4 linked regions of the Arabidopsis thaliana genome follow. The protein of the gene in region 1 interacts with the protein of each later gene in a biochemical or structural test. Each region holds a gene or a part of one and is shown in the gene's direction. Other genes may lie near its edges. The genes, in order: HK3, AHP3, AHP1 and AHP2.

The links.
Region 2: the proteins of HK3 (region 1) and AHP3 form a complex in vitro, tested with the Arabidopsis thaliana proteins (one study listed by BioGRID).
Region 3: the proteins of HK3 (region 1) and AHP1 form a complex in vitro, tested with the Arabidopsis thaliana proteins (one study listed by BioGRID).
Region 4: the proteins of HK3 (region 1) and AHP2 form a complex in vitro, tested with the Arabidopsis thaliana proteins (one study listed by BioGRID).

The regions. Positions count from the first base shown.
Region 1 is NC_003070.9:9,484,941-9,493,138, forward strand, and holds HK3 (histidine kinase 3), read left to right. Parts: upstream 1-1,948; 5' UTR 1,949-2,839; coding exon 2,840-3,346; intron 3,347-3,627; coding exon 3,628-3,909; intron 3,910-4,111; coding exon 4,112-4,281; intron 4,282-4,369; coding exon 4,370-4,582; intron 4,583-4,678; coding exon 4,679-4,865; intron 4,866-4,958; coding exon 4,959-5,010; intron 5,011-5,124; coding exon 5,125-5,354; intron 5,355-5,442; coding exon 5,443-5,541; intron 5,542-5,627; coding exon 5,628-6,733; intron 6,734-6,822; coding exon 6,823-7,087; 3' UTR 7,088-7,161; intron 7,162-7,255; 3' UTR 7,256-7,692; downstream 7,693-8,198. Other genes in the region: NTF2A (nuclear transport factor 2A), read right to left, coding at 554-850; AT1G27330 (Ribosome associated membrane protein RAMP4), read left to right, coding at 8,124-8,126. UniProt on the Arabidopsis thaliana protein: Cytokinins (CK) receptor related to bacterial two-component regulators. Functions as a histidine kinase and transmits the stress signal to a downstream MAPK cascade.
Region 2 is NC_003076.8:15,746,948-15,751,701, forward strand, and holds AHP3 (histidine-containing phosphotransmitter 3), read left to right. Parts: upstream 1-1,783; 5' UTR 1,784-1,846; coding exon 1,847-2,059; intron 2,060-2,548; coding exon 2,549-2,679; intron 2,680-2,760; coding exon 2,761-2,832; intron 2,833-2,924; coding exon 2,925-2,996; intron 2,997-3,095; coding exon 3,096-3,168; intron 3,169-3,247; coding exon 3,248-3,301; 3' UTR 3,302-3,944; downstream 3,945-4,754. Other genes in the region: AT5G39330 (transmembrane protein, putative (DUF1163)), read left to right, coding at 1-60; AT5G39350 (Tetratricopeptide repeat (TPR)-like superfamily protein), read left to right, coding at 3,982-4,754.
Region 3 is NC_003074.8:7,576,894-7,581,637, reverse strand, and holds AHP1 (histidine-containing phosphotransmitter 1), read left to right. Parts: upstream 1-1,848; 5' UTR 1,849-2,100; coding exon 2,101-2,160; intron 2,161-2,385; coding exon 2,386-2,516; intron 2,517-2,608; coding exon 2,609-2,677; intron 2,678-2,781; coding exon 2,782-2,853; intron 2,854-2,941; coding exon 2,942-3,014; intron 3,015-3,146; coding exon 3,147-3,206; 3' UTR 3,207-3,926; downstream 3,927-4,744. UniProt on the Arabidopsis thaliana protein: Functions as a two-component phosphorelay mediators between cytokinin sensor histidine kinases and response regulator (B-type ARRs). Plays an important role in propagating cytokinin signal transduction through the multistep His-to-Asp phosphorelay.
Region 4 is NC_003074.8:11,263,152-11,267,516, reverse strand, and holds AHP2 (histidine-containing phosphotransmitter 2), read left to right. Parts: upstream 1-1,954; 5' UTR 1,955-2,108; coding exon 2,109-2,174; intron 2,175-2,393; coding exon 2,394-2,524; intron 2,525-2,604; coding exon 2,605-2,676; intron 2,677-2,759; coding exon 2,760-2,831; coding exon of another isoform or gene 2,832-2,835; exon of another isoform or gene 2,836-2,886; intron 2,887-2,899; coding exon 2,900-2,972; intron 2,973-3,081; coding exon 3,082-3,138; 3' UTR 3,139-3,391; downstream 3,392-4,365. Other genes in the region: UGD2 (UDP-glucose 6-dehydrogenase family protein), read left to right, coding at 1-142. UniProt on the Arabidopsis thaliana protein: Functions as a two-component phosphorelay mediators between cytokinin sensor histidine kinases and response regulator (B-type ARRs). Plays an important role in propagating cytokinin signal transduction through the multistep His-to-Asp phosphorelay.

The DNA.
Region 1 (8,198 bases):
GACAAAAACATCTCTTATCGAACAAATCTAGTAAAGAGCGTTCAACACTAAAAAGAGAAAACAATGTCTTACGGCAGATGATACAAACACTGCAAGCATCTCAAACTATTTAGAGTTGAGACAATTTAATCAAGAAGGTGGCATATCTACAACTACAACAAGATCACATATGAGCATAGTTGAAAAAAACTAGCAGAATCATGGCAAAGCAGTTTCCCAATACTACATTCACGAAGTGCAAGGAGATAGAAGCTCCACAAGACAAAATCTAAATGACACAAGATTACATCTACTGATCTACGCAATCATTTGGGGGAAACCTCTTTTATCTCCAACCTTATCACAGATCTATCACTAAATGCATCAGGGAGGGTCTAAAATTTCGAGACAATTCCAGATCATTGAAGCTTTTAGTGACCTAATACACACATCAATCTACAGAGCAGTAAGGATAAAAACCCTATCGTACATGATCAACAGCGAGGAATACAAAGGAAACACTAAAAATCGAAGTGATCTAAACCCAAGGGAAAGAGATAAGGCAAAAAAAAACCTGGCTGAACTTGAGAGCGTGTTGTTCACCAGCGAGCTGAAGATTGCCGGAGACAAAGACGAGCATACCACCGGCGGGACCAGAAGGCTGACAATCGACGGTGGTGATGTTGTGCTTACACTGCTGGAAAGGGAGGCCGGTGAGCTTAGCGACGATGTTCTGAGAGCCCTGGATCTTCTGGCCTTCGAAGGTCAACATGGATCCTTCTTGGTATAGAGAAACCAACCCTGGACGATTTGCATCGAAGGTGGAGTAGTAGTGCTCAACGAAAGCCTTTGCAACAGCGTCTGGATCCATCTCTTTCTTCGTCTTCCTTTTTGATCCTTAGCTCTTGCGTCGTGCTTTTTCAACAGGCGAGAGAGGATCGAGAGGGTTAGATAATTTACTGAAAAATTATACGAATGGACCAAGACTAGAGATACTGAAATGAGTGTTTGACGATACTTTAAATGGGCCTTATATTTTTCAAGTTGGGCCCGTTAATATATGGGACAATCAACAGTATAGCTCAATTGGTAAATTGACTAACTTCATTTGATTCCTACACCATTTAAAGATTTTTAATCAAATTCTGATATAACTAAGATAATATTTTAAAGCATTTAACTAACATGGAAAATTATGAAATGAAATATTAATTTTGGATAGAAAATTTAAAACATTTATCTTTGTGAAATAAAAAGAAAGTCTCTTATAATATAACTTGTAAAGTAATCCTTTAAATTCTAAAAGATCTAAAACAAAATGAGTTAAATCCTATGTCTATGTGTTGAATCTGGAAGATCGAGGTGGAAGAAAAAGGATCATGATTCATGGGTGAGAGAACAACCGTTGATTGGTGTGTTTCAACTTTCAAGCAATCCCATTTTAAAAAAATAAATTTATGTAAGCAATTGCAAACAAAATGAAATGATTATGCTTTAAGATATCGACACGTGTAAAACAGATGACGTACCAAGAAAATAAATGATTCTGTATTTTGTTTTAGCCATTTGTTTTTTCTTTAAAGGAAAGTGTATGTTGAAATTGAAAAAACAAACCGAGTTATATATATAGAGTTATTTGACTAAAGAAGGAAGCTTTGGTTAAACTAACTTGTATAATTCTTTTGTGTAGTTTAGTTTTGATAAAATGGCCAAACAATTTTGGTCACTTTACCAACTACTGCAAAAAAACCATTTTCATAATAATAAATTGTAACACGCCTTTTATTTTTATTATTGGAGGGTGAGAACTGAGACCATATATGCCTTTGTTCCCTTCTTGTGGGTCCCTTTAGCCTTTTTTTTTCTTTTGCCTGCGCCGTTTAGTGTTTTTTCTTTTATATATAAATAGAGGTAAGTTATTTTACCAATCATTTGGTGTTATTAATAGTAGTATTAATGAGGTTCTAAACTTGTTTATAAAAATCAGATCTTACTAAACAAACTCAAAGAATCTCAACTATGAACATTTTTCTTCTAGAATCGAGTTTTAACATCATCATCAGCAGGATATAATTTTTTGTGTTTGAATTTTATCTGTATTTTTTTTAGGAGTACATAAGCAGCTTAAGATTAAAATATATATTAATGGAAGTATGAATGAAAAAAGAAAAGAAAGATAATCAGATAATAGAGAGAGAGAGAGAGAGAAGGAAGCAGACATTTGTCTTCCACCATATTCTTCTCATCTTTTCCGATGATAGATTCTTCTTCTTCTTCTTCTTCTACTACTACTTCTGCTCCTCTTTCTTAAGTTTCTCCATTTGATAATTCACTCAAGTCTCCAGCTCCTCTTCTTCTTCTCGTTGCTTTATTCGCTCTCTTTCACTCATCATCATCACACTCAAAGATTTCTGTTGTATTGGAGCAAGCTCTAGCGAATTTTCGTACTCCCCTTGTAGAATTTTAGTTTCCTGTTTTAGATTTCGAGGAATCTCGCTTTGGAAACTTTAAGCTCCTGTTCAAAGTTTCTACCTTTGTTTATTTTGTTTTTGTTTTCTTCTCTCTTATCTTTCGTCATCTTTGATTAAGTAACCACTTTGATCTCTCAATTTCAGCCTTTGGGTTGTCTAATCTGACACGTTCCTCTGTCTTAGCTTTCCTTTTCTCTTCTCGTTTGTGGGAAGCCTACAAGGATTAATTATTAAATACCCAACCCCAAAAAATTCTTCCTTTTTGATTCTCTGATTCGTCCCTTTTTGTACATGGTTTCTGTTTGGTTGTTAGAGCTTCTTGCTGAGTTGAATTGAGCTGGTTGCAATCACTCTGTTTCTTGGGGGTTGATCGTGTATTCAAGTGGTGGATGAGTCTGTTCCATGTGCTAGGGTTTGGTGTCAAGATTGGGCATCTCTTCTGGATGCTATGCTGCTGGTTTGTTTCTTGGTTCGTTGATAATGGGATCGAGGACAAGTCTGGTCTTTTAGTTGGCTCTGTCGGTGATCTTGAGAAGACTAAGATGACTACGTTGAAGAAGAAGAACAAGATGTGGTTCTGGAATAAGATCTCTAGCAGCGGACTCAAGATCCCGAGTTTCTCTTATCAGTTTCTTGGCTCTGTTAAATTCAACAAGGCGTGGTGGAGGAAGCTTGTGGTGGTTTGGGTTGTCTTCTGGGTCTTGGTCTCTATTTGGACGTTTTGGTACTTTAGCTCGCAAGCTATGGAGAAGAGGAAAGAGACGCTAGCTAGTATGTGTGATGAGAGAGCTCGTATGCTGCAGGATCAGTTCAACGTTAGCATGAATCATGTTCAAGCCATGTCTATCTTGATCTCAACCTTCCACCATGGCAAGATTCCTTCTGCTATCGATCAGGTATTCTCGATTCCGCATCTTCTTGTCTTCTAATCTGTTTGGATTGATGCCTGAGATCTAGTCTTGCTTGTAGTACATAAGTTGTTCCTACGGTGTAGTATATGAACGGTCCTTGGATGATGGTAGCTTTTTTCATTCAACTTGCTCTCGAATTTCAGTTAGGATTTACAATTTTGCTGATTGTTGCTTACAGTCTTTGTATTTAGCTAACACTTGGTAGCTTGATTCCTATCTTCTTGAGTATTAGTGAACAGTAACTAACATTAAGAAGCTTTGTGTAGAGAACATTCTCAGAGTACACTGATAGAACTTCCTTTGAGAGGCCTCTTACTAGCGGGGTAGCTTATGCTATGAGGGTGCTCCATTCAGAGAGGGAAGAGTTCGAGAGGCAACAAGGTTGGACTATTAGGAAGATGTATTCTCTTGAACAAAACCCAGTTCACAAGGATGACTATGACCTGGAAGCTTTGGAACCATCCCCTGTCCAAGAAGAGTACGCTCCAGTCATCTTTGCTCAGGACACTGTTTCTCACGTTGTTTCTCTCGATATGCTGTCTGGGAAAGTAAGCTTCTTTACTGGTTCTAATTTTACTGTTTTTATGTAATTTACTATCATGGTCTACACTCACTACCGGGCGAATCCTGCCGACATGGCTAGTTCATATTTCAATCTCGGCTTACCGATTAAGTTGTTTTGATCATTTTATTTAAAGTTTAGAGCACTGTTTTAACTGATACTTATTCTCACTCAATTCCTCTTGATAGGAAGATCGTGAAAACGTTTTGCGGGCCAGGAGTTCAGGTAAAGGGGTTTTGACAGCTCCTTTCCCATTGATAAAGACAAATAGACTTGGGGTGATCCTGACATTTGCAGTGTACAAGAGAGATCTCCCCTCCAATGCAACGCCAAAAGAGAGAATTGAGGCTACTAACGGGTGTGTAGCATAGGCGTCTAAATAAATAATAACGCATAAGTTTTACAACATTATTTTTGCTCATTCATCTCTTTTGATGCCCCTGAAGGTATCTCGGGGGAGTGTTTGACATTGAGTCCCTGGTAGAAAACTTGCTTCAACAGCTGGCTAGCAAGCAAACGATTCTTGTCAATGTGTACGATATCACCAATCACTCTCAACCGATTAGCATGTATGGTACAAATGTGTCGGCTGATGGGTTGGAACGTGTTAGTCCACTAATCTTTGGCGATCCATTGAGAAAGCATGAGATGCGTTGCAGGTACTTGCAGTTGGCACATACATATGTCTGTAATTTCTTCTTGTTTGCAAGAATCCAGGTGCTAACATTTTGTTGTGAGCTTCTTCCTCTTTGTAGATTTAAGCAGAAACCACCATGGCCAGTGCTATCAATGGTGACATCATTCGGTATCCTTGTGATTGCGTTACTTGTTGCACATATAATCCACGCAACCGTTAGTCGAATACACAAAGTTGAAGAAGATTGTGATAAAATGAAGCAGCTCAAGAAAAAGGCTGAAGCAGCAGATGTTGCAAAGTCACAGGTAAATACATCATCCTCAGTTGATAAATTTCCACAGCATATTAAACTTTCTATGACAGAGAGAAGAGTTGTAATCTAACTTTTTTTTATGCAGTTCCTTGCCACTGTTTCACATGAAATCAGAACTCCAATGAATGGTGTTCTAGGTGAGTATCGAAATGGCCACTATGTTGCCTCCTTCTCTCACCTATGCCCATGAATATTTTCTGAAGAACAAACTTAACCAAATATTCTCATGTTGACTTTGATCTGGGGTGTAGGAATGTTGCATATGCTTATGGACACAGAGTTAGATGTTACGCAACAGGATTATGTTAGGACCGCACAGGCAAGTGGAAAAGCTTTAGTCTCGCTAATAAATGAGGTTTTGGACCAAGCAAAGATTGAATCTGGAAAGCTTGAACTTGAGGAGGTGCGGTTTGATTTGAGAGGAATATTAGATGATGTCCTGTCACTCTTCTCTAGCAAGTCCCAACAAAAGGGGGTGGAGGTAACTTACTATATGATCTGCAAAGCAAGGGTTGTAACTGATAGCAAGTCTTTCTTACTGATTTTTTGAGTGTTGCTGATGAACGCAGTTGGCAGTATACATATCTGATCGTGTTCCAGATATGTTAATTGGTGATCCTGGGAGGTTTCGACAAATACTCACAAATCTTATGGGTAATTCCATTAAGGTAAACTTTTTTATTATGTTTTTTTCTGACCATTCCTTGCATCCGAGTTGATCAACGGAGCTGATCATTTATATATATTCTGGCAGTTCACTGAGAAAGGACACATCTTTGTAACTGTTCATTTGGTGGATGAGCTATTTGAATCTATCGATGGAGAGACAGCATCATCTCCGGAAAGTACACTGAGTGGGCTTCCAGTTGCAGACCGGCAGAGGAGCTGGGAAAACTTTAAAGCTTTCAGCTCCAACGGGCATCGGAGCTTTGAACCATCTCCCCCTGATATAAACCTAATCGTCTCAGTTGAGGATACTGGCGTAGGGATCCCTGTAGAAGCGCAGTCCCGTATTTTTACGCCTTTCATGCAAGTCGGACCATCCATATCCAGGACGCATGGAGGCACAGGAATTGGACTTAGCATAAGCAAATGTCTAGTTGGACTGATGAAGGGAGAAATTGGATTCTCGAGTACTCCCAAGGTTGGGTCCACATTCACATTTACTGCTGTATTTTCCAATGGGATGCAACCAGCTGAAAGAAAGAATGACAACAACCAGCCCATATTCTCGGAATTCCGGGGCATGAAAGCTGTGGTTGTGGACCATAGGCCTGCAAGGGCAAAAGTCTCGTGGTACCATTTTCAGCGTCTTGGAATTCGAGTCGAAGTAGTTCCACGTGTTGAACAGGCTCTACATTATCTGAAGATTGGTACTACCACTGTGAATATGATACTCATAGAGCAAGAAATATGGAATAGGGAAGCAGATGATTTCATTAAAAAGCTACAGAAAGACCCTCTTTTCCTTTCTCCTAAGTTGATTTTGTTAGCAAACTCAGTAGAATCGTCAATATCAGAGGCTTTATGCACCGGTATAGATCCTCCAATAGTGATAGTGAAACCATTGAGGGCGAGTATGCTAGCAGCAACTTTGCAGAGGGGATTGGGTATTGGAATCAGAGAACCACCTCAACACAAGGGACCTCCTGCTTTGATTCTCAGGAATCTTCTCCTTGGTAGAAAAATTTTAATCGTGGATGATAACAACGTAAACCTCAGAGTGGCAGCGGGAGCTCTGAAAAAGTACGGAGCTGATGTGGTCTGCGCTGAGAGTGGGATAAAGGCAATCTCATTGCTTAAGCCACCTCACGAGTTTGATGCTTGCTTCATGGACATTCAGATGCCAGAAATGGATGGGTATGCCTGATTGGTATACTAGTTTTTTTGAAAAGTTCGAAATATGTAATAAGAAAATTGAAATGTTTTTCTGCCCTGTCTTTCTGCAGATTTGAAGCTACAAGGAGAATACGAGATATGGAAGAGGAGATGAACAAGAGAATAAAGAATGGGGAGGCTTTGATAGTAGAGAACGGTAACAAAACAAGCTGGCATCTTCCGGTATTAGCAATGACGGCAGATGTGATCCAAGCAACGCATGAGGAATGTCTGAAGTGTGGAATGGATGGGTATGTATCAAAACCATTTGAAGCAGAGCAGCTGTACAGGGAAGTTTCTCGCTTTTTCAATTCGCCTTCAGATACAGAATCATAAGAGGAGATGGGGCTGGAAGAAGAACAGCGAAGGAAACACAAAAACTCGTGTCTCCTATGCATCTTGAAGTAGTAGTAAGCCGCCTATATTCCTCCTCTCTATATATTTACTCACCTAAAAACATGTCTTCTCAACTGACAGTAACGCCTTATGTGAACTTGTTTATAGGAAAAACAGATTGACGATTGCAAAAAGAGTGTATATAGAAAGGCCGGTGTGACCAGGCCAAGAACTTAGGACCAGTACTTTCTCCTGTAAATTTTTTTTCTACATTTTTCTCTGGTCTGATTGAGACAACAAAACTTGTGGTATGTAGATGAGAGTAGCAGCTGGAATATATTCAGAGTTGCTTTGGACAGGGAAGAGAGCATCATAGTATGTGTGTAAAAGTGTGTGTGCATGATTTAGGATATTTCTTCTTGTATTAGAGAACAGTGCTGCAGTTTCTTTGTTATCATCATGGTCCAAGATAGGGAAGTGGACATTACTACTTATACATACACTGGCTTTGTGATATAAAGTTGAAGATAGCTTTTACTTTCTCTTCCCCTTCTTTACGTACAATGCATATTGGAACCAAAACCAAATGATCGGACCGAATCAAGAAACAGAACCGAATGTCTTCAAATAGTTGTGTTTTGTGTCCAACTAAATTCACGTAGAAGAACTATAGAAACGTGGACCCCAAAACGTGAGTGTGGTTGTTTGACTTTTAAACACGTCCGTGAGATTTTCAGATTGACCTTTAGGTCACATTTTTGTCCACCACATCAACATGAGAGGGCTTTTCTCAAGCATTTCAATAATCGGAATCCAATCACTGACCGCCACGTGGACATCATACGTCTCAATAACCAATCATAGAATGGTTGTGACGACGTTCACGGTGAGTTGCAGTACCCGATCCCTTTTAAGGTCCGTGACAGAATAATTTTGAAACCAGCAAGACAAATTTAGTCAAACCAAAAAAAAAAAAAAAACGAAAGCGCAAAGACTAAGGAGAAAAGAAATTCTTCGCTTCTTCTCCGGTGTAATCATGGTATAGCCCGCGATCTCGATTGTTTCTTATTATCGGTATTCATGTTATATTAGCTAGAATTGTGTTTTGTAC
Region 2 (4,754 bases), on another chromosome or scaffold:
GGCTCTCAAAGGAATGCAACTTTGTTTGGAGACCACCCTATTTGCCGCTATCTTCGCTAAGTACTTTTCATCAATAGTTTGTTCTTTAGTTTGTCAAATGATGGACTTTCTAAATTCTTTTGCGTTTTGATATGGACTTGCTTTACCTAAATTAAATTCCTATAAATTAATTAATGGAATATATTTCTTCTAGATGTTAAGTGTTGAACATTCTTAATTCTCTCTCTTTACGAACAATAGATATGTTCTAGAGCAATATCATGGAGTTGTACGTGGTGTTATGATGATTTCTACACGAGGCATTTATCCTTGACGGACAAGTTGCAATTATTTTCCTCCATGATATTCAATTTTTGGGATGGTATTTTCATTCTCCACAAATGTTGCATCTATGAGATCAATATGCATGCAAGATCTCTAATTAATGGTGTGGTGCATGGTCTGCCCTCCCAAAGGTGGATCTTTATCTTTTGTGTTGTGATAGTAAATTTGTATATATATATCTAGTGTTTAAAAATTTGCTAAGCATGGGGTGATCCAATACCTACCTATTAAAAACGTTTAATCCGAACATAGCTACACACGGACCGAATGTTCTTTTTTGGAGTTTTTTATAATTTTATTAAGATTTTGGGACATTTAGATCTCTTTAAATTAATATTTACTAAATTAAAGAGAGTAGTTAAGATCCTTACCAATAAACGAGAGAGATGTTAAGATCCGTCTCATCAAAAAAAGAGAAAGATTTTAAGATCCAAGTCAGGTCACTTTTTTCTTTGGTATTAATCTCACAACTCAATTCTCAACTCAACTCAGGTCACCAAGATTTAACACTTATAATTTTACACTTTGTTTTCTTAATCATTATATACTATCCTAAGCATATATATGAATCTTTCACCATAAGTTATACCATTTATATATGCTAATATTTTCTAAATAAACCTTACAAATTTGTTGGCGCTAACAACCATTGTTTAATTTTGCTTGGGGTGGCTCTAGTTATATTATATAGACCTTAATTTTGCAGGAGGTATGTAACACCTCATATTGCTTCAGCTTAGCAATTCATATATAGCCAAGACGTGTGGACTTCTCACCCAAAGTTTCCTAGTTTAAATGTGAATGCCTCTAAACAAAAGTTCTTGCTTTCGATGTCTAAACTTAGATGTGTTACCGAATAAAGCCAGATTTACCTCCTTTGACCTTACTATATAGCCAGCTCGCTGCCTCCGCAACTCTCAAAATGACACTCGCGATCATATTAGTTGTTTCCAACAAATTGAAAAATAAAACATTTCACTCAAACAAAAAAAGATCTAAACAGCCGAAAAAACAAGTCCAATATCAAAATCTGTTATAGCAAAAAAAAAGAAGGTAGAGTATTTTGGTAAGAAAGAACTCTAAATGCCTCTACGATATAATATTAATAAGTATGTTACCAAACAACTTAATATTAGTGCAAAAAACCCTTTAGTTTGTCATAAACAGCAAAATCTGCCACTATAAGTTGTTTTCATGAGGTCAAGTTGATGAGAGTATATGATTCTCTGAAGCTCATGTCAAAAGAATAGAACCAATGTTCTTCAGTCTTGTCCACACGGTAATGCTTCAAATGAACTTGTCTATAGAGAATCTTCCAGCGTGAGAGATTCTTAGTGTTGGTGGATTGACATAACAGAAACATACCTAACATTGGAAAATGCTAAAAACTTTGAGTGAATGAATGAATGTATCAATCATGAATTAGAGATTCCATTTTTTATGGCCTAAATCAATGTTTCTCACTTGTAAAAGTTGTCTTTTTGACAACTAATCATATTCTAATTCTTTTTCTCTGCCCTTTATGGAAAAGCTTTGTGACTATTTCTTTATTTATTTCTGTCCAAATTTGATGATCTGTAAGAATCTCTTTATTGGGATTGCAATTTCAAACAAACTTTACATCTTCTTCTTCTCTCTGCTTTTGCCTTCACGACGAGTAGAGAGAGCCATGGACACACTCATTGCTCAGTTACAGAGACGATTTTGTGATTTCACCATTAGTCTCTATCACCAGGTAAATTTTAGCATCTCTCCTTAGAGATTCAGGATAAAAGTGATTAACTTTCTTGTGAAGAGAACTTAGAAATTGTGGTTGAGTTTTAAAGTCTCCTTTTTAGAGATGGCTCTCCACAGTCTTTAGGGTTCTTATTGAAGCTTTTAAATTGGAAACTGGGGATTTAAGAGTTAGGTTTACTGATTGTGAAATGGGTTATTGTCTCCATTTTCAAAGTCGTCTCCTTTCAAAGTGATTACTTTTCTGGTGAAGCAAACTTTGAATTTGTGGTTACGTTTTTAGGGTTCTTATTGAAGCTTGTATATGGCAATTGGGGATTTTGGGAATTGGGTTTAGGGTCTGTGAAATGGGTTATTGTCTCTTTTTCAAAGTTGTCTTCTTTTTAGGGATGACTACTCTCTACTGTTTTTAGGGTACTTGGAGCTTGTATTTGGAATTGGGAATTTTGTGAAATGGGTTTCTGAGATTCTTTGTGTTGGTTTTGTAAAGGGGTTTTTGGATGATCAATTCACAGAATTGAAAAAGCTGCAAGATGAATGTAGTCCTGATTTTGTGGCTGAGGTTGTTACTCTCTTCTTTGAAGACTGTGAGAAGCTTATCAGTAATATGGCTAGAGCTTTGTAAGTTTACTTTTCTTTTACGAGTTTAATCATCAAAAGCTAGCAGATATGGTTTAATGATTGGTTCATATGTATACTCAGAGATCAGACAGGAAATGTAGATTTCAAACTGGTAGGTTCTAGTGTTCATCAACTCAAAGGTAGTAGCTCAAGGTATGTCACATTTGATCTGTATAGTCTCGGTCCTTTAGTCTAATCTCGGATCTAGTCTCAGTGAAGAGCTCCTTTCTTGTTGTTCTATGAAGTGTTGGTGCCAAGAGAGTCAAAGGTCTTTGTGTTACCCTCAAGGAGTGTTGCGACTCTCAGAACTATGAAGGGTAAGCTTTTGTTTTCCGGTTCTTCTTTAAGAGAATCTCAAATTTCTGCTATGTTCATTTGATTGTTGAAACTAATTTGGGAAACAATCTCTGTTATAGGTGTGTGAGATGTTTGCAGCAAGTGGATATTGAGTACAAGACATTAAAAGCAAAGCTTCAAGATCTGTTCAATGTGAGTGAAAAGCTACGTGAATTGTGTCGGTTTTTTGCTTTCGAATTTCGTGAATAAGTCTTGCATTGTTTTGTTGCAGCTTGAGCAACAGATTGTCCAAGCTGGTGGTAGAATCCCTCAAGTGGATATATAAACAATAGACCTATCGACAACAGAACAGCAAGATGATGATCATCCAGTTGCATTCTTCAGACGAGTACTACTCGAATTTGTTGCTTCGAAAAAGAAAAAAAACTCTTGAGAATGTGTGGAAAAGAGAGGTGATTGTTGTTCATAGATCAATACTATGTATCTTTTGTATCATCATCTCTTGAATCTTGGTACTGATCTTATCTGAATAGTATGAATTTGCATCTCATAAGACCATATGAACAAGAGTGAGTTATGTATTCAAAAACAGGAATATTTCCAGACACAGAAGCATCATAAGAAGCAGAAAATTCAAGGAGAGCTACACAAGACAACGCGCAAAAGAATAGACTCTGAAAGCAAAAAGCTTCACGAAGACATTGGCAAAAGGAACAAACCAAGAACAAACACTCACAAGTGTCCCCTGTGAAAGCTGAAACCTAAAGTTAAACCCATCAGCTAATGTTAAGAAAGAAAACGTCACGCAGTTCTCACTGTGAAATACAAAACGTCAACGCAGTCTCACTGTCAAATACAAACGTCACGCAGTTCTTACTGTAAAATAAGAAAACGTCAAGCATTTCTCACTGTAAAATACAAACGTCACGCAGTTTGGTTAGATATGTCGTTGCTTTTAAAAAATTGCGACCCAATAGATTTTTCAACAGTCGTTTTTTTCTTTAAATGAGTGAAGTTTTGCGCAGAGCCAACAACGCACTTAGTAGCGTCAAGCAATACCAATCTCTCTTGAATCACTTTGCAGCTACTCAATCAATTTCAAAAACCAAAGCTTTACACTGCCACGTCATCACCGGCGGTCGAGTTTCCGGCCACATTCTCTCGACTCTCTCCGTAACTTATGCGTTATGTGGTCACATCACTTATGCACGGAAGCTGTTCGAGGAAATGCCTCAAAGCTCTTTGCTTTCTTATAACATTGTTATTAGAATGTACGTGCGTGAAGGATTGTATCACGATGCGATTAGCGTGTTTATTAGGATGGTTAGTGAGGGGGTTAAGTGTGTTCCGGATGGTTATACATACCCTTTTGTTGCTAAAGCTGCTGGAGAATTGAAATCGATGAAATTGGGGTTGGTTGTTCATGGGAGGATCTTGAGGAGTTGGTTTGGTAGGGATAAGTATGTGCAGAACGCGTTGTTAGCGATGTATATGAACTTTGGGAAGGTTGAAATGGCGAGGGATGTGTTTGATGTGATGAAGAACCGTGATGTGATTTCGTGGAACACGATGATTAGTGGGTATTATAGGAATGGTTATATGAATGATGCGTTAATGATGTTTGATTGGATGGTTAATGAAAGTGTTGATCTTGACCATGCTACGATTGTTTCTATGTTGCCTGTTTGTGGTCACTTGAAGGATTTGGAGATGGGGAGGAATGTTCATAAGTTGGTGGAAGAGAAGCGGTTAGGGGATAAAATTGAGGTGAAGAATGC
Region 3 (4,744 bases), on another chromosome or scaffold:
TTTAAGACTATACAACGACTTTGAATGTCTTTTGAATGTGTTGTTTTTGTGTTTATATGTTAAAATGCGGTTAGTTTTCTTTTATCAAACATAATTTGTAAACGTGATAACACAAAATTGATAGAGAATATGGACTTGTGTTTTAAAATCTACGTTTACATGCATTTGTATTTTACATGATCTAAAAGTGTGTTTATCGTATGTGAAACCATTACGTCAACATGGATTGTTTTTACGGTATTGTGTTACAAATGTAAATACACCATTTTAATATCTAAACTCACTTTTTTCTTCTTTTTGTTTGCGGTTGAACCAACCAAGCCCATACACGAGATAAAATTGACAACTAATTTATTTTACTTGTGTAAATTGAACTTAACCTGAAATTGGCAGTGAACCAACAAATCGACTAACTCGTTCTGCATGTTTACCTTTTATTTGTTTTTAGTAAATAATATCGTATTTGGCTGCGTCTACAGCGACTTGTATTCTAGCTTTAAACCTTTTTAAAAACTTGATATGGCTATTGGCTATAAGGATTTTCTTATAATAAATTGCTTGGAGATATGGGTGAGTGCAAACTCTTTCTTGACTTTTTACGTATAAATTTGTTAAAAACTAAGGAAGCACAGTTTAACTTTTATACGGAGATAATATAATGTAAGATATCAAAATTCATAATAAGATTTGAAAGGTCCATAATTAGTGATGGAACCTTCTTACGATGGACCCATTATCAAGTAAGAACCACTAATAATCTTTGGTTAGTTAGTATATATAATACGTTTTATGCCATTCGTTAAACGCATCCTACGTTCTTGCATGTCCCATGTCCATTCATCATGTGAGACGTGTCAAAGCGTTGATGTTTACCCAAATTTGCAGAAATTAATACAGTGAAACTAATTTACTATTTTTATTTTGGCTTGACGTGTTGAAATTGTTATTGAAAATACGAATTGTCTAAGGAAAAAATTGTCATTTTACTGTGCATGAGGAAATAGATAAGAATGGTGTGTATGAGTATGATTGGGAAAGTATTTGGAGTGACGAAAATACCAGGGATATGCAAATGAAGAAATAGTGTGGTTGAAAAAGATGAGACTGGTGTGCTGATCGTTGTAGTTGAAAATGTTACGTAAAAATATATTGTATGTAGTACTCTATGAAAGATTGAAAGGATATGAGCTATTGCATATATATTGTTAGGTTGTTTTGAAATATTGTTAGTTGAAAGAAATTTATAGAGCAAGTGACAAACGAGTAAATAGAAAAGCTTTGAGAAATCACGAAAAAACATTTGAATTGTGATAAGTGGTTGATTATAATGAAAAATATTGGTATAACACAAAATATGATAAATCCTAGTTTAATAAGAATTCCACCAAATGATTGGACGAGATATATGACTAAAGAAATTATAAGCTGCATTTAGTTTTGGTTTTGAACAACATTACAAAGTGTTAGGCGGCATTTGAGTTCTCAAAGTCACAATTTCCTTGATAAACCCATTACGTTACGATATTTGTGATACATCAATATAAAATAAACTAACCAATCAATGTATTATTATAATAAAAGAATTGCTAGTTGGACAAAAACAATGAGGATCAAATCAAAATTATATTACAAATAAAGTTTCCCTAGAGATGCTATTTGAAAGATACATTGAATGCGAGCTGTGCATATTAGTATATGCTTTTCATCAGTAGTACAGTAATTTAAATATTCGAACCAATAAAATGTTTTAAAATCTTAAGAAAAAAAAAGACAAATCAAGAAGTATCAAATGCTCTTCTTATGTCTTTATCACATTTGCAAAAAAAACGAGGAAAAAAAGGCGCGAATGGTTAGACAGTTGACAGCACGACCAACTTCCATTCTTTAAGAGTTTCTTTCTTTTTGGATTCTTTTCTCACATCCAAACCAAAATTGTAATAATAAAATACAAACTATTTAAATTTAAAAAATAGGGTTTTTTGATACGGAGGATTTTGTTCTCATCTTTTAAGTACTGAGGATTTTGTTGGACATTTTCTTACCTCCATTATTGGCAGAGAGAAACAAAGAAATAAAGAACAAAAGCAAATAACAGAGAATATGGATTTGGTTCAGAAGCAGAAGAGTTTGCAAGATTACACCAAATCACTCTTCTTAGAAGTAAGTTTTTCACATTTGAAAAGATCAAATAATCAGAAAACTTGTTTTAACGTTCACAACTTTTTCTTTCTGGTTTTAGGACTTGTAGTAAAAATGGTTTTAGGACTTATAGTAAAAATGTGTTAGGCTTTTGTAGTTTCTTTGGTAAGATAATCATGAGTTTAGGTTATGTAAAATTAGTTTCTGATTATGGAAAGTCTTTTGTTTTGGGTAAATACAAAAAAGGGGATTTTGGACAGCCAGTTCTTGCAGCTGCAACAACTACAAGATGAAAGCAATCCAGATTTTGTTTCACAAGTTGTCACACTCTTCTTCCAAGACTCTGATAGGATTCTCAATGATCTCTCACTTTCCCTGTAATCTTCTTTACACATTCTCTCTTTAATCTTTTTTTTTTTGTTCTTTTCCAAAACTTGTGTTTCTCACTGTTTTTTTATGCTTCGGGCAGAGATCAACAAGTTGTAGACTTTAAAAAAGTTGATCCCCATGTTCATCAACTCAAAGGTAGCAGCTCCAGGTAACAACAAAAACAAAACTGGCTATTTCTGATTTTAATCCAATGATAATGACATTTTCTTGATCTTGAAATGTGTAACAATATATATTGCCAAAAAATAACAGTATAGGAGCACAGAGAGTTAAGAATGCTTGTGTTGTCTTCCGCAGCTTCTGCGAGCAGCAAAATGTCGAAGCGTGAGTTTAATCGATATGTTCGTTGGTCCATTCGTTATTTCTTTGTTTTAAGATCTGATTAGGAAAATACATCGTTGAAAAATTTCAGATGTCATAGATGTTTGCAACAAGTGAAGCAAGAGTATTATCTTGTGAAAAACAGATTAGAGACTCTGTTCAAGGTAAAAAGTCAAAGAGACTTTTTTTTTTTTTATAAAACCACCCACATAACTCTTATCTAGTTATACAATATTTTGATCAACATTTGAAACTTATCTGATTCAATTTTGGTTTTGATGATCGAATCTATGCAGCTGGAGCAACAGATTGTAGCTTCTGGTGGAATGATCCCGGCCGTCGAACTCGGATTTTGAGTGAATTTCATAAACATCTCTGTCCATTGTTGTTTCATTTTGGACTCTCTCTTCTTCCTCTCTTTATGTGACTATCAAAAAAAGGTTCTTATGTGAACTTCTTTCTTTGTGCCATTGGAAGAGTGAGACATGCTAAAACGTTTCTTAATCCACATCTAAATCCCACATATGTAAAATAAGATCTCAAGCAAACATATAGTCATGAGTCATGACTACAATTATATAGAGTTTGATCAAGATAATGTACGCATCAAGGTAATGTGATCCGGACAACTTGGTTAGGTATTAGGTTGTTGTTTTACTGTAACTGTTAGAAGTAGTTAGAAGTCTTGTAGTCCTTGACCAAAGAACACAGATGGGCCATATGAATTTTAGTAGCCCAAGATGATAACAAAGGGCCCGTACTAAACATCCATGATGATCTTGGAAATCTTTTTTTTATTACGATTGCACTTCGACGAATCTCTAAAGATTTTCAGACATTTATACAATGCAATTAAGAAAAAAATAAAGTTATACTATGTGAGTGCACGTTAAATAATGTAGCTAAAAATAAAATAATGACAAAATTCTTAATTACTTACAGATCCGTGACCTGTCGTCGACTATATATGGCTCCAATTTATAACCTCATGTTCGATTTCTAGACTTCTAGTTTACCACTTATAACTTTGTATTGCTCTATACTCGTATTAATTAGTGCTCCATCTTTTTTATTTGAACTTTTTTGGGTAAAGAATGAGCGTTCCCTTCATCGTTTGTTCATAACTTTACTAGTTCCTTTAATTGTACCTTCTGTTTAATTTTGTTTTCAAGTGACCTTTTTGTCTTTTCAATAATAATTAAGATTTCCAGTTCGTAATTTCGTATGTATAATGAACCATACCATTAATTATGCAATATGACAAAAATATGATGTTTATATGTTCTTCCACCTTGTTATTATCGATTACAAATTTAAATAAGGATCATAGGGTAAATAACACTTTTTTTTTTTTGGTTATAATCAATATCTTATTCCTATTTTATTGTTTCAAACATGCATAGTATCCAAAGGGAAGCATGTTTTGGTGAAAATATATGCATAGAAGAAGAAGACTAATCAGTAATCAAGACAAGAGATAGGTTGAATAATTCCATTAAGTTTTCTCCTATCTGTAGTCTAAATCACTAGTTACAACTTTCAACACACATGAAACACATTATACATGCATCATTATTCATTAATGTGTTAGGTTACGCTACGTATATTTTGTGTAGATTTGAAAGTACAGATATGTAATGTAATTATCATACAAACATCTCTTAATTAAAGTCTCCCACAAAGCCACAATATGGTGTAAGTGATTCCCGTTGGATTAGTACATTAGTCAATACACTACTTTTTTGACGGCTACTGATTTAAGTTTCTATTTGAACTATCCCCAATAATATAAATATCACGTCGATGTGATTGAGACGAGCAATAGAGCCGTGCTTAACTACTTTTATAGTGAAAATTAAATAAGGCTTATGTATCCAAATACTTGTGGTCAACT
Region 4 (4,365 bases), on another chromosome or scaffold:
TGACAACATGCAGAAACCAGCTTTCGTGTTCGATGGAAGAAACATTATGAATCTGCAAAAGCTAAGGGAGATTGGTTTCATTGTTTACTCCATTGGTAAGCCTCTCGACGACTGGCTCAAGGACATGCCTGCCGTTGCCTAATGATGTTCATTGCTGACTCTTTCGTCCTCCATCATTTGTGCTTTTCTTCTTCTTGTGGTTTGTCTTTAAGACTTGTTATATTTCTTACAATATGTTTGTTATGTTCTCTGGTGTGTGTTTTGTTTTTTTTGGTATTACTTTCATATTTTTTTGGTCGAAGAGGACTTGTATTCGACAATGTCGCTTCAATTTTGTTGTTTCCTTAGAAACTAAATAAATATTGGTTTATATTGGAGTAAAATGTGTTTGTACTTTGTAGTTAATCGTTGAAAGTTTTGCCACTTATTGAGCTTTGTCTGCGAGAGTTGACTCGGAAGAATATTTGCACATTGTTCATAGAGAATCACATGATATCTCTTCTCTGGTGGATTAGGAACCAAACGCATCTTGTAAAAGTTTCCAGGTTGGAGATTCTGATTTCTGAGTGACACCTAACGATTCCATATTTAAAGCTTTATGTTTTTGTATGTCTCTCATTGCGATTGGTATTTTTTGTTTAAGTAAATATGCATAAATCCATTCGTAGAGGCATTCCTTACAGTACTAGTGACCACATATTAACCTTTTAGGTACGCACACCGAAGTTGGCTACATAACTTGGGTGAGTATTCCAATCTGTAATGTGAATAGTTTACCATATCACATATAGCTCTGATACCATAAAAAACTATATGTGAATAATATTAAAAATCTTATACACAAAATTTTCTTTTAAATGGTTAGTCTAATTGTAATTTAAAAATATCGAAATAATAAGTTGCAATTTTTTTTTTTTTTTTTTGGGTCTTTGAAAAGAAAATATAATGTCAAATACTTTAATTTTTCCAAGTAAATCGAAACATAAGATTGATATTTTTCTTTTATATAAGAAAATTAAATTAGATTTAATATTATTAAATGAGTGTTTCATATTATATTTTTCAGAAAAAGAGTTTTTATTAATTAACCAAATACCAATAATTTACTTAAAAACTTGTATTGAATCCAAATGTTTCCCAAAAAAAAAATATTTAATTGGGATTGACAAAAATAGCACCAACAAAATTTTTTCTTCCAAAAATAACAACTTTTTGAAAAATTTCACAAGTAGCTTTCAAAATTTTAATTAAATATTAAATATAAATAATTAATTTTATTTAAATAAATAAAAATAAAAATTTTCCGCTAAAAATTTTTCGTCAAATTTTCTGCCAAAACAATTCGGTAATAAATTTTCCCGCAAAAAAAATTTTCCGTCAAATTTTTCTTGTAAAAAAACTTGAGGAAGCTAACTACGACATTCGTGAGGATTTCACGGAATTCAGGAAAGATTTTACAAAAAAAATTTTCGTAAAATTCTTCCTGAATTTCGAAAAAGAAAAATTCGGGAATTCAGGAAAAATTCTACAAAATTCAGGAAGGGTTACAAAAGAAAAAAATTATAAATTTCGTGAAACCTTTCCTGAATTGCTTAAAATCTTTCCTATATTTTGTAAAAAAAATTCTGAATTTTTTTTTGTAGGTAAAATGTGGGCGGCGTAATTATTTTTGGTGGAAAAATTTTGACGGAAATTATTTTGTAGAAAAATATTGTTGAAAATTTTTGGTATGAATTTTTGTATTTTTTTAAATGTTAGTTGTAATAATTAAAAATTAAATAATTATTTGAGTGTTATTTATGTTCACAAAACTTTTGAATGGTATTTTTATCAAAAAAAACTTTAAAATTATGTTAATTATGAAAATTCTCTATTTAATTTTTTTCACCCAAATAAATAAATACATAAAAATGTCCAAATATTTGTGTGTTTCTCTTTTAATTATTGTTTCCCATTTAAAGTAAAAAAATCTGGTAGCAGCGTTACAATTCGCGAGAAAGACAAAACACAAGTTTCTTCTTCTTGGGATTGGCTATTTCCAGAAATCCAAGTCAATAATCAAAGTCCAAACAAAAAAATCCTCTCCCAATCTCCGCTTCACTCTTCTCATGGACGCTCTCATTGCTCAGCTTCAGAGACAATTTCGTGATTACACCATTTCTCTCTACCAACAGGTTTCAATTCCACAATTCTTCAAACCCAATTTCATCTCTTTGCTTAGCTAATTTAGCTCATATACACACTAGATTGACTCCTATATGCATAGATTCATGACAAAAGTGAAGAAAGATTGAATCTTTATGTAGATTTTTACAAGTTATGATTTTTAGGGATTTGAGTTGTGTAAAGGTTGGAACTTTAGATTCATGGGTTTGTGTTTTTTTTATGTGAAGGGGTTTTTGGATGATCAATTTACTGAGTTGAAAAAGCTACAAGATGATGGAAGTCCTGATTTTGTGTCTGAAGTGCTTTCACTTTTCTTTGAAGATTGTGTGAAGCTTATCAGTAACATGGCTAGAGCTTTGTAAGTTTTTGATATTCTCTCAGCTAGATCATCATTGCTTGTGTTGTCTTAAAGTGTGATTGTGGCTACTTCTATTTCAGGGACACGACAGGAACTGTAGATTTTAGTCAGGTAGGTGCTAGTGTGCATCAATTGAAGGGTAGTAGCTCAAGGTATGTATCATGTCTCGCTTTATATAAGTAGCAGAAGTTGTGTGTTGTTGATTGATGAAAAGCTTTGTGTTGTTTCTATGTAGTGTTGGTGCCAAGAGGGTCAAAACTTTGTGTGTTAGCTTCAAGGAATGTTGTGAAGCTAAGAACTACGAAGGGTAAGCGAGTTATGGTTTTCTCTTGGGACTCATTGGTTGAGTAATAATAGTCTCATGTTATGTTACAGGTGTGTGAGATGTTTGCAGCAAGTGGATATTGAGTACAAGGCGTTAAAGACAAAGCTTCAAGATATGTTCAATGTGAGTGTGAATAGAATCCATCTCTGTTTTTGGCTCTGCTTTTAATGAATCATTTTGGTTATGAGTAATGAACAAATCATTGACATTGTTGTTGTTGTTGTTGTTTCAGCTTGAGAAACAGATCATTCAAGCTGGTGGTATAGTTCCTCAAGTGGATATTAACTAAAGAGACTAGTCCATAAGAAGAAAAAAGATGATGACTTTCTTTCTTTAGTTTCTCTTCTAAATTATTTTGGATTTGGTGTTTGCTCAAAAACTCAATAAAATATGTGCAAAAAGAAACAAAAACAAGTGATGGTTGTTTATAAATCAGTAGTATGTATTGTTTGATCTCATCCGAGAAAATTGAAACCATTGGACTAATGAATGTGATGATAATATATATTGGTTTGCTTCTGAAAGGTTTGGTTTGAGTAAGATATAGTGATTACTAAGTAAGTCTTGACTAGTGGGTGCTTCTAAAAATTGTGTGTTTAGATCTTTTAGTTTCCCAAATTTGCCCATAATGTTTTCGTAATTATCTGAATTATTTGTCTCGAAGTTGACCTTTACTCAAATTAGTAAAAGTTTGGTAGTGACTTTCCAAATTTTTACAACCTGTCTCCTTATCAGAATATGAATATCGTAAACCCTAAAACCTAAATCTAAACCATTACCCATTCGATATCCGAAATGGACATTCTAAGAAAATATGGTAATTCTTTCAGGATAAATCACAAACCGCTTTCGACGAGATTACGGAGCATGTAGTTAATAAACGGGGAAAATGTCATTTAAATCATCACTTTACCATTTTCGTTGGTTTAAATCATGAACTTTGGATCTGGTGAATTAAATCTTTAATTTTATGTTGACTTTCAAATTAATCACAAATTCTTGTTGACTAAGCAAATTGAGACACAAATTCTTTTTTTCGATGTCGTCAATCGACCTTAAGACGAAATATTACTTTGAATTCGAAAAAGAAGAGAAATTCCAAAGAAGATGAGAGATTCTGAAGAAAAAGAGAGAAAAAATCAAAAATTTTGATTAGAAAGATTTCTAACGATGTGCCTTAATTGGCTTAGTCAACGAATTCGTGATTATATTGAACGTCAACATAAAATTGAGGATTTAAATCACTAGATCGAGATTTTATGCTTCAAAACCAACGGAAATGGTAAAGTGATGATTTAAATGACATTTATCCCGTTAATAAACCAATGAAACCAATAATTGTGGGTTGATATATCTTGAACTATTAATTTGGAGAGATTTGTATATAGAAATTTTATTTTAGGGAGAAAACTAGGTATAGAACTTTAGTTTTAGAGATATATAAAATTATAGATCGGAGTCATACTTTGAACTCTGGTAATAGTTTGGAAATAGACCCTTTTTTTTCCGAAATGGA